2 linked regions of the Oryctolagus cuniculus genome follow. The protein of the gene in region 1 binds, or shares a complex with, the protein of each later gene. Links are inferred from orthologs where the notes say so. Each region holds a gene or a part of one and is shown on either strand. Other genes may lie near its edges. The genes, in order: NOD2 and PKN1.

Region 1 (3,805 bases):
AACTATGACCAAGTTGGATGTGGGGTGAGACTGGCTTGCGCCCCACCCCCTGCCTGTGCCCTGGAGAAGTTCTGTACTGACCACACTCTCTCCCCAGGTTGTGAAATGTGCTCTCAAGAGGCTTTCCAGGCACAGAGGAGCCAGCTGGTGGGGCTGCTGGTTTCGGGGTCCCTGGAGGGCTTCGAGAGCATCCTGGACTTGCTGCTGTCATGGGAAGTTCTCTCCTGGGAGGACTATGAGGGCCTCCGCCTCGTGGGCCAGCCTCTGTCCCACTTGGCCAGGCGCCTCCTGGACACTGTCTGGAATAAAGGCACTTGGGGCTGTCAGAAGCTCATCGCAGCTGTCCAGGAGGCCCAGGACAGCAGCCAGTGCCCTGAGCTGCATGGCTGCTGGGACCCCCACTCACTCCACCCAGCCCAGGACCTGCAGAGTCACCGGCCAGCCATCGTCAGGAGACTGTACAGCCACGTGGAGGGCGTGCTGGACCTGGCGCTGGAGCAGGGCTTCATCAGCCAGTACGAATGTGATGAAATCAGGCTGCCCATCTTCACGTCATCCCAGAGGGTAAGGCTCTCTGTCCTGGTCAGCAAAAGTCATGGGGAGAGGGTGGTTGGTCCTTACGAAATCAGCTCTGTGGGGTAACTGTGTGGCCTCCCCTAAAAAGAAAGGCAGGCAGGTGCACGTTGCTCTCGATGGTTGGAAATAGACCTTGTGACAGAAGAAGTGTGGTGTGGTCAAGGGCTTCCGTTCTGCAACCAGCATGGTGCAGCATTGAGCTGCATCTTCAGGCTCCTCTATGGAAGCAGAAGGTTTTTGGGAGAAGTCAATGAACTGATTTGTGTGCTGCTTTGAGGAGTGCTTGGCACATAGTTAATATCATCAGCCTGTTAATCATCATGACTTCCCTCATTCCTGTTGCCAGTGCTTGTACACTTTGATTGCTGTCTTTTACAAATTTTATTTATTTATTTTTATTTATTTGAAAGGCAGAGAAAGAGGGAAGGAGAGAGGGAGAGGAAGGTTGGGGAGAGAGAGAGAGAGAGAGAGAGAGAGAGAAATGAGACAAAGATCTTCCATCTGCTGGTTTACTCCCCAAATGCCTGAACAGCTAGGGTGGGGAAGCTGAAGCCAGGAGTCAGGAACCCCATCTGGGTCTCCCTTGTGGGTTGCAGGGGCCCAAGTATATCGTCCAGCATCTGCTACCTCCAAGACCCATTAGCAAGAAACAGAGTAGCTGGGACTCGGAATGAGCTCTCAGATATGGGATATGGGCAACTCAAGTGGTGGCTTAACGTGCCAAGCCACAATGTCCTGCTCTCATCTATTTTTTAAATATATATATTTGTTGTTCTAGTAAGTTTAGATGAGGCTAGGTGGAAACTGATAAAGTAAGCTAATCAGTCTTCAAGCGTGGTTGAAAACTGGGTCATGGTGGCCAAGTATTTATAGAGCAGACCCTGTGTGGACCCCAAACGCAGTGCACACAGAGCCTGCAGTTATACCTTGAGCACCACCTCCAAGGAGATTACAGAAGACATATGGGTCATCGTACCTACTTTGGTGTCTTATATGACCTGTTGGGGGCCAAAATCAATGCACCTGAGAAGTCATAAGCTTCTGTCTTGTCATCTTTGATCAAGTGTTTGACGGTGTAGTCTGGTCCCAAAGCTCTGAGGGGTTTGTAGAAGGAAGCCTAGATTTCTTGGGACCATAGGAGGCACGACATGAATAGAAGAAGTATTTGGATTAGTGAATAAAAAAATGAGCCAGGCCAGCGCCGCGGCTCACTAGGCTAATCCTCCGCCTAGCGGCGCCGGCACACCGGGTTCTAGTCCCGGTTGGGGCGCCGGATTCTGTCCCGGTTGCCCCTCTTCCAGGCCAGCTCTCTGCTGTGGCCAGGGAGTGCAGTGGAGGATGGCCCAGGTGCTTGGGCCCTGCACCCCATGGGAGACCAGGAAAAGCACCTGGCTCCTGGCTCCTGCCATCGGATCAGCGCGGTGCGCCGGCCGCAGCGCGCCGGCCGCGCCGGCCATTGGAGGGTGAACCAACGGCAAAGGAAGACCTTTCTCTCTGTCTCTCTCTCTCACTGTCCACTCTGCCTGTCAAAAAATAAAAAAGAAAAAAAAAAGAAAAAAAAATGAGCCAAAAAAGAAATCATAATGGAAATTAGAACATATTCAGAACCAAACAACAGTGAGAATATTATTATCAAATTCTACAGGATTGCAGCTAGGGCAGGACATAGAGGGAAATTTATAACCATTTAAGGTTATGATTTATAACCATTTAAGCTCAGATTTGGAAAGGAGAAAGGCCGAATTTTAAAGGGTTAAAATTATTTTAGGAAAAGTCTAAGAAGACAACCATAACCAATACTGAATGTGGAGACTGAGCTGAGTGAGTGGAAGGGGCAGTGGGCCCTAGATCTGAAGACTGTGGATTTCACAGGAGCCGCTCTGCCTGATGCTTATGTTTTCAGAATCTAATTCTCTCTGCCCTGCCTTTGAGCTCTGACAGTCTGTGATTCGCTGATGTCATGGACTTCTCTCAGTGGCTGAACTTCTGATGGACTGTGGGTGGCACTTGCGTTGTGTCCAACTAACATTTGGATATTTTAGTTTCCTGTAGAGAGATGGCTGTCATTGATTTCGGGTTGAGGATAGAAAAATGCTATGGAATAAAACAAAATGCAGATAAAGAACTAAGTCTAGGGTGTATGTTTGGCATAGGGTTAATTAAGACACCATTTGGAAAGCTTGTGTCCTGTGTTGGGGTGCCCAGGTTTGCGTCATACCTCCACTCCTGAGTCTAGATTCCTGCTAATATGCATCCTGGGAGGCAGAATTTGATGATTCAAGTTGTTGGGTCCCTGCCACTCCAGTGGGAGAACTGGATTGAGTTCCAGGCTCCTGGCTTCGGCCTGGCCTACTCCTGGCCACTGTGGGCATTTGGGGAATGAACCAGTGGATGGGAGATGGCCCTGTTGGCCTTTCAGATTAAAAAAGAAGAAGAAACTGCCCAAATCATGTCTCTGGGAGGCAATCCAGTTAGAATTTGAAGCCAGGCCTGTTTTTCTCCAAAGCCTGTGCTCCTCTCCATCATAATATGTGGCAGCTTGGTGTGGCAAACTTGTTCAGTTGGGTGTAGCAGTGATTAGGCAACCTGAGGCTGACAACAGCAGCTGTGAGACCAGCTGCCCATCTGACTCATACACCTGCTGAAGTTGATGGGCTGAGGTGTCAGACTGAGCCTGGAGTTGCTTGGCTCCTACCACAATAATAACTTAAACACTTATTCACTGGGAACTGTAGGAAATGCCTACAGAAAGTGTGCACATTTTATAGATATGACATAAACAGACTCCCATAACCCAGGGTGAGAGATAGAATGCCACTCTTACCCAGGCCCTTTTCCAAGTAACATTAGCACAGGTATCCATTATCCAAAGGAATGTTCATCATTTTTTGCCTTAACATAATTTTAGCACTATTTATTTCAAAATAAATTCCCAAACAATAGATTATTTTTATTTTGAAAAACTGAGTAGCAAGCCAAACATAGCTGCGTAAGGCAAGGGCCAGTTGCTCTTTGTTGGATAAAAGTTTTCGGGGCAGAGAAGCCAGACAGTCTCAGGGTCATGGTCTGGCTTCCCCCTCCCTGGGAGGCTATAAGGGCCCCTGTGGGAAGTTGGTGAATGGGGTTGTGAATGAGTCTGGGGAAATACGGGGCTCACTATAGCTGGAGGACCTGGTAGGCCTGACACAAATTAGATACTGGTTGTCCAGCAGGAGTATGGTCAGAAGAA
Region 2 (3,785 bases), on another chromosome or scaffold:
CGGGTGGCACGTGCAAAGCGCCCAACCTTTGCGAGGGTAAATGAAGCTACCGGGGGTGTAAATGAAGCGTCCCATCGGAGCCGCAGCATCTACTGTTGGCCGCTAGGGGCGGCAGAGGCACCGCGAGCGCCGATTGGACGAGTGCAGTTCCCGGACTTGCCACGCGAGGGCGGAGAGACACCGGACGCTCCTCAGTCGAGGGGGAGGGTCCCCAGGGTGGGGAGCCAGAGCCGCAGGTGCATGTGCACAACAGCACCGCCGCGGCCCTGGGGCTGGGGCTCCGGGGGCTCCGGGGGCTCCGTGGAAGACTCTCGCAACCATGCTGTTCACTAGGGCCCTGAGAGCCCCTGGCACAGCCCCCAAGCCCCTACCCCACCCCATCACGGCCTTGAACCCACCACCCACCGCCCCGTCCCCTCCCATGCTAGCCCAGGGGACCACCGCCCCCTCACCCGTGCCTGCTTCCCTCCCCAATAGCGCGCACAAGAACACTCGCACAATGCGTGGATGGGGCGAACCCCAAGGGCCTTTTTAAAAACTAGGATCCCTGGGTCAGGGGGCGGGCAGGAGAGGGGGGCGGCTAGCAGCCCCCAGCCACAAAGTCGAAGTCCCGGAAGGCCGCCTGCTCGGCGGCGGTGAGGGGCCGCGCGTCGCGGGGGGGGCTCAGTGTGGGGGCCTCGCCCGTGAACTCCTCGTCGAAGTTGCTGACGTCGGTGCGGCCGGCCAGCGTGGGCACGAAGGGTGGCGGCAGGCGCCGGGCCAGCAGGGCGTCCCAGCCCAGCGTCTGCGGGGAGGGAGAGAGTGGGTGGGCATGAAGGGGTCGGGGAGGGGGGGCTGGCGAGGACCACCAAGGCACAGGTGCACGGGGGCGGGAGGAGGGGGTGGACGTGAGGGGTCCAGGGGTGTGGCCTGGCCAGGACCACCAAGGCGCAGGTGCATGGGGGCGGGAGGAGAGGGTGGACGTGAGGGGGTCCCGGGGGCTGCAAGACGCAGGTGCATGGGGGCGGGAGGAGAGGGTGGGCACGAAGGGGGGGGGCTGGCGAGGACCACAAAGGCGCAGGTGCACGGGGGCGGGAGGAGGGGGTGGACGTGAGGGGGTCCCGGGGGCTGCAAGACGCAGGTGCATGGGGGCGGGAGGAGGGGGTGGACATGAGGGTCCGGGGGCTGCAGGGGAGGGAGATGAGGGTATGGGGACAGGATGACGAAGGCTGGGGGGGGTCTGGGGGAAGAGCGGCCCCTCACCCTGAAAAACGGCTGCTTTTTGACATCCTCCGCGTCGCGCTCGCTGGACCCCAGCCGGCGCTCCGGGTTCCTCCGCAACAGCTGGGGGGGGAGGAAGGGGCGCTGGGTCAGGGTCTGCCCTCCCGGGGCGGCGGCAGGGGCGGGGGCCGGGGCCGCTCACCCTCCGCATGATGCCGATGGCTTCGGCCGACAGGAAGCGGGGATAGCGGACTTCATCGTTGACGATGCTGTCGAACACCTCTTCTTCGTCGTCCCCTGGGAATGGGGACTGGGGCGGGGGGGGGGGGGCGGAGGACAGCGGCGGGCGGGGCTGAGCCGCGCATGCGTGCGCAGACCACCCCTCCCCCTCCCCGGCTGCACCTGCTGCACCTGCGCTGGGTGGCTGGGGCTGGGGGAGGAGGTGCCGGCTGGCGCGCCAGGGTAAGTATCCCATTTGTCAGGTGCACAAACTGAGGCCGGGGAGGCCGAGCTACCCCACCCCCGACCCCGACCCCCCAGCTCCCGGCTGGCGGGGGCCGGGGAGCAGCTTCGTGGGGGAGGGGAGGGGTCCTCACCTCACCAACCAGCATCTCGTAGAGCAGCACCCCTAGCCCCCACCAGTCCACGGCCCGCGTGTATGACGTGTCCGTCAGCACCTCCGGCGCCAGGAACTCGGGGGTCCCACAGAAAGTGCTGGTCCGGTCCCCGTAGCCCATCCCTGGGGGAGGCGATGGGGGAGGGGCGCTGGGCTGCAGACTCCACCCCTCCCCACCGACCCCAAAGCCCCCAAACCCCGGCTGCAGCCCCTCACCCTCCTTGCAGAGCCCAAAGTCTGCGATCTTGACGTAGCCCTCGGTGTCCAGGAGCAAATTGTCCAACTTCAGGTCCCTGCGGGGGCGGGGCGTGAGGATGGGCGGGGCAGAGGGGCGGGGCGTGAGGAGGGCAGGGGCGGCGGTGGGACTGAGGGCAACCTCAGGGGCCTGAGCACACACGTGCACGCAGACCCTGCCCGGCGGGCATGGCCGCGCATGCGCTCACCTGTAGACGATCTTGTGTTCGTGCAGGAACTGCAGGCCAAGCACCACGCAGGCCGAGTAAAAGCTGCGGGCGGGGCGGGGCGGGGGAGAGAGGGGCGGCTGTGAGGATGCTGGGGCGGGGGGGGGGGGGGGGGGCGCAGGCGGCTGTGAGGACGAGGGGGCGGAGGGGTGGAGGGGCGCAAGTGGCTGTGAGGATGCCCGGGGGCGGGGCGGGGGGCGCAGGCGGCTGTGAGGACGCGGGGCGGGGGCGGGGCTCGGCTCACGCGGCGCGCGGCTCGGAGAACACGTCGCTGTGGATGTGCAGCATGAGGTCCCCGCCCGGGGAGTACTCGAGCACGAAGCACACGTGCTCGGGCGTCTGGAAGCAGCCGAACAGGTTGACCAGGAAGGGGTGGCCGGCGCTGGTCACGGCCGCCAGGATCCGCTTCTCGCACATGAGGCTGGGGGCGGGGACGGACGTCAGTGCCCGCTGCCCCTCCCGGCGCTGGGCGAACCCCCCACACACACTCCGCTGTGCAGTTTCGGGCAGGTGCCTTGACGCCTCTGAGCCTTGGGGCTGCTGCGGGGGGCGTGCGGGAAGCCCCCGTGGGCTCTGGGCTCAGGCACAGTGGCGACTCAAGATCCCCGGGGGTCGAGCCCCGGAGGTCCACTGGACTTGTGAGACAGAGAGGGCCCGACGCACTGGAGGGCAGGTGGGGCTGAAAAACGCCCCCTGCCCAGCACCTGGATGCAGCCAGGCCTGAAGGCCGCCCTTCCAAGCCTTCTCCTATCCGGGCCAATAAACTCCTTTATTTTAAGCCTTTCTGACTTGGGTTCGCCATCATTGGGGGGGGGGGGGGGGGCTGGGACAAGTCTCGCGTGCCTCTGCCCTGGGCAGAGTCGTTCTGGGACCCCTGGTGAGGCAGGACAAGTGGCTTCCCCTACCTCACCCCCGGGGATGCCCCAAGCACAACGGGCAGAGGTGGGATCTGAACACAGGCCCCTGACCCCGAAGCAGAGCCACGCGGGGACACCATGTACGGTGGCTGCCTGGGGGCTGAGGACTGTCACGGGGTCACTGTCCCTGCTGTCACCCAGAACGCAGATGCCCCCAGAGGGCCAGGGCAGGTCCCCACCTCTCCACCTCGTCCCGGGCCACGATGTCCCCTTTCTTCAAAGCTTTGATGGCGAACAGCTCCCCGCTGGACCGGAATTCGGACAGCAGCACCTGTAACCACAGCGGTACCGGGTGGCTGACCCGGGGGACCCGGGGGTGGGGGTGGGGGTGGGACCTGGACGCGCTGGGGGCCCCGCTGCCCACGGCCTGCCTCACCTTTCCAAAGTGACCCCGGCCCAGCACCGCCAGGAACTTGAAGTCCTCGAGGCTCAGGGGCGCCTTCCTCAGGGGGCTGCGGAGAGAGGGCGCGGGTGCTGGGGGCGGGGCAGCGGGCTGGGGCGTGTCCCGGGTGCAGGGGCGGGGCTGGCACCTGCACAGGGCGGGGCCTGGGGTCTCCTGGGTCTCCAGAGGCAGCTCGGGAGTGCTCGAGG

What was found.
Region 2: NOD2 (region 1) and PKN1 share a complex: the UniProt entries of both Homo sapiens proteins name them as parts of the signaling complex. The link is inferred for Oryctolagus cuniculus from reciprocal best matches to the Homo sapiens genes NOD2 and PKN1.

What each region holds. Positions count from the first base shown.
Region 1 is NC_091449.1:34,247,952-34,251,756, forward strand, and holds part of NOD2 (nucleotide-binding oligomerization domain-containing protein 2), read left to right. Parts: intron 1-97; 5' UTR 98-105; coding exon 106-564; intron 565-3,805. UniProt on the Homo sapiens protein: Pattern recognition receptor (PRR) that detects bacterial peptidoglycan fragments and other danger signals and plays an important role in gastrointestinal immunity.
Region 2 is NC_091447.1:63,110,141-63,113,925, reverse strand, and holds the end of PKN1 (serine/threonine-protein kinase N1), read right to left. Parts: coding exon 3,725-3,785; intron 3,647-3,724; coding exon 3,571-3,646; intron 3,466-3,570; coding exon 3,374-3,465; intron 2,699-3,373; coding exon 2,522-2,698; intron 2,323-2,521; coding exon 2,260-2,322; intron 2,110-2,259; coding exon 2,033-2,109; intron 1,940-2,032; coding exon 1,797-1,939; intron 1,511-1,796; coding exon 1,403-1,510; intron 1,324-1,402; coding exon 1,243-1,323; intron 785-1,242; coding exon 581-784; 3' UTR 501-580; downstream 1-500. UniProt on the Homo sapiens protein: PKC-related serine/threonine-protein kinase involved in various processes such as regulation of the intermediate filaments of the actin cytoskeleton, cell migration, tumor cell invasion and transcription regulation.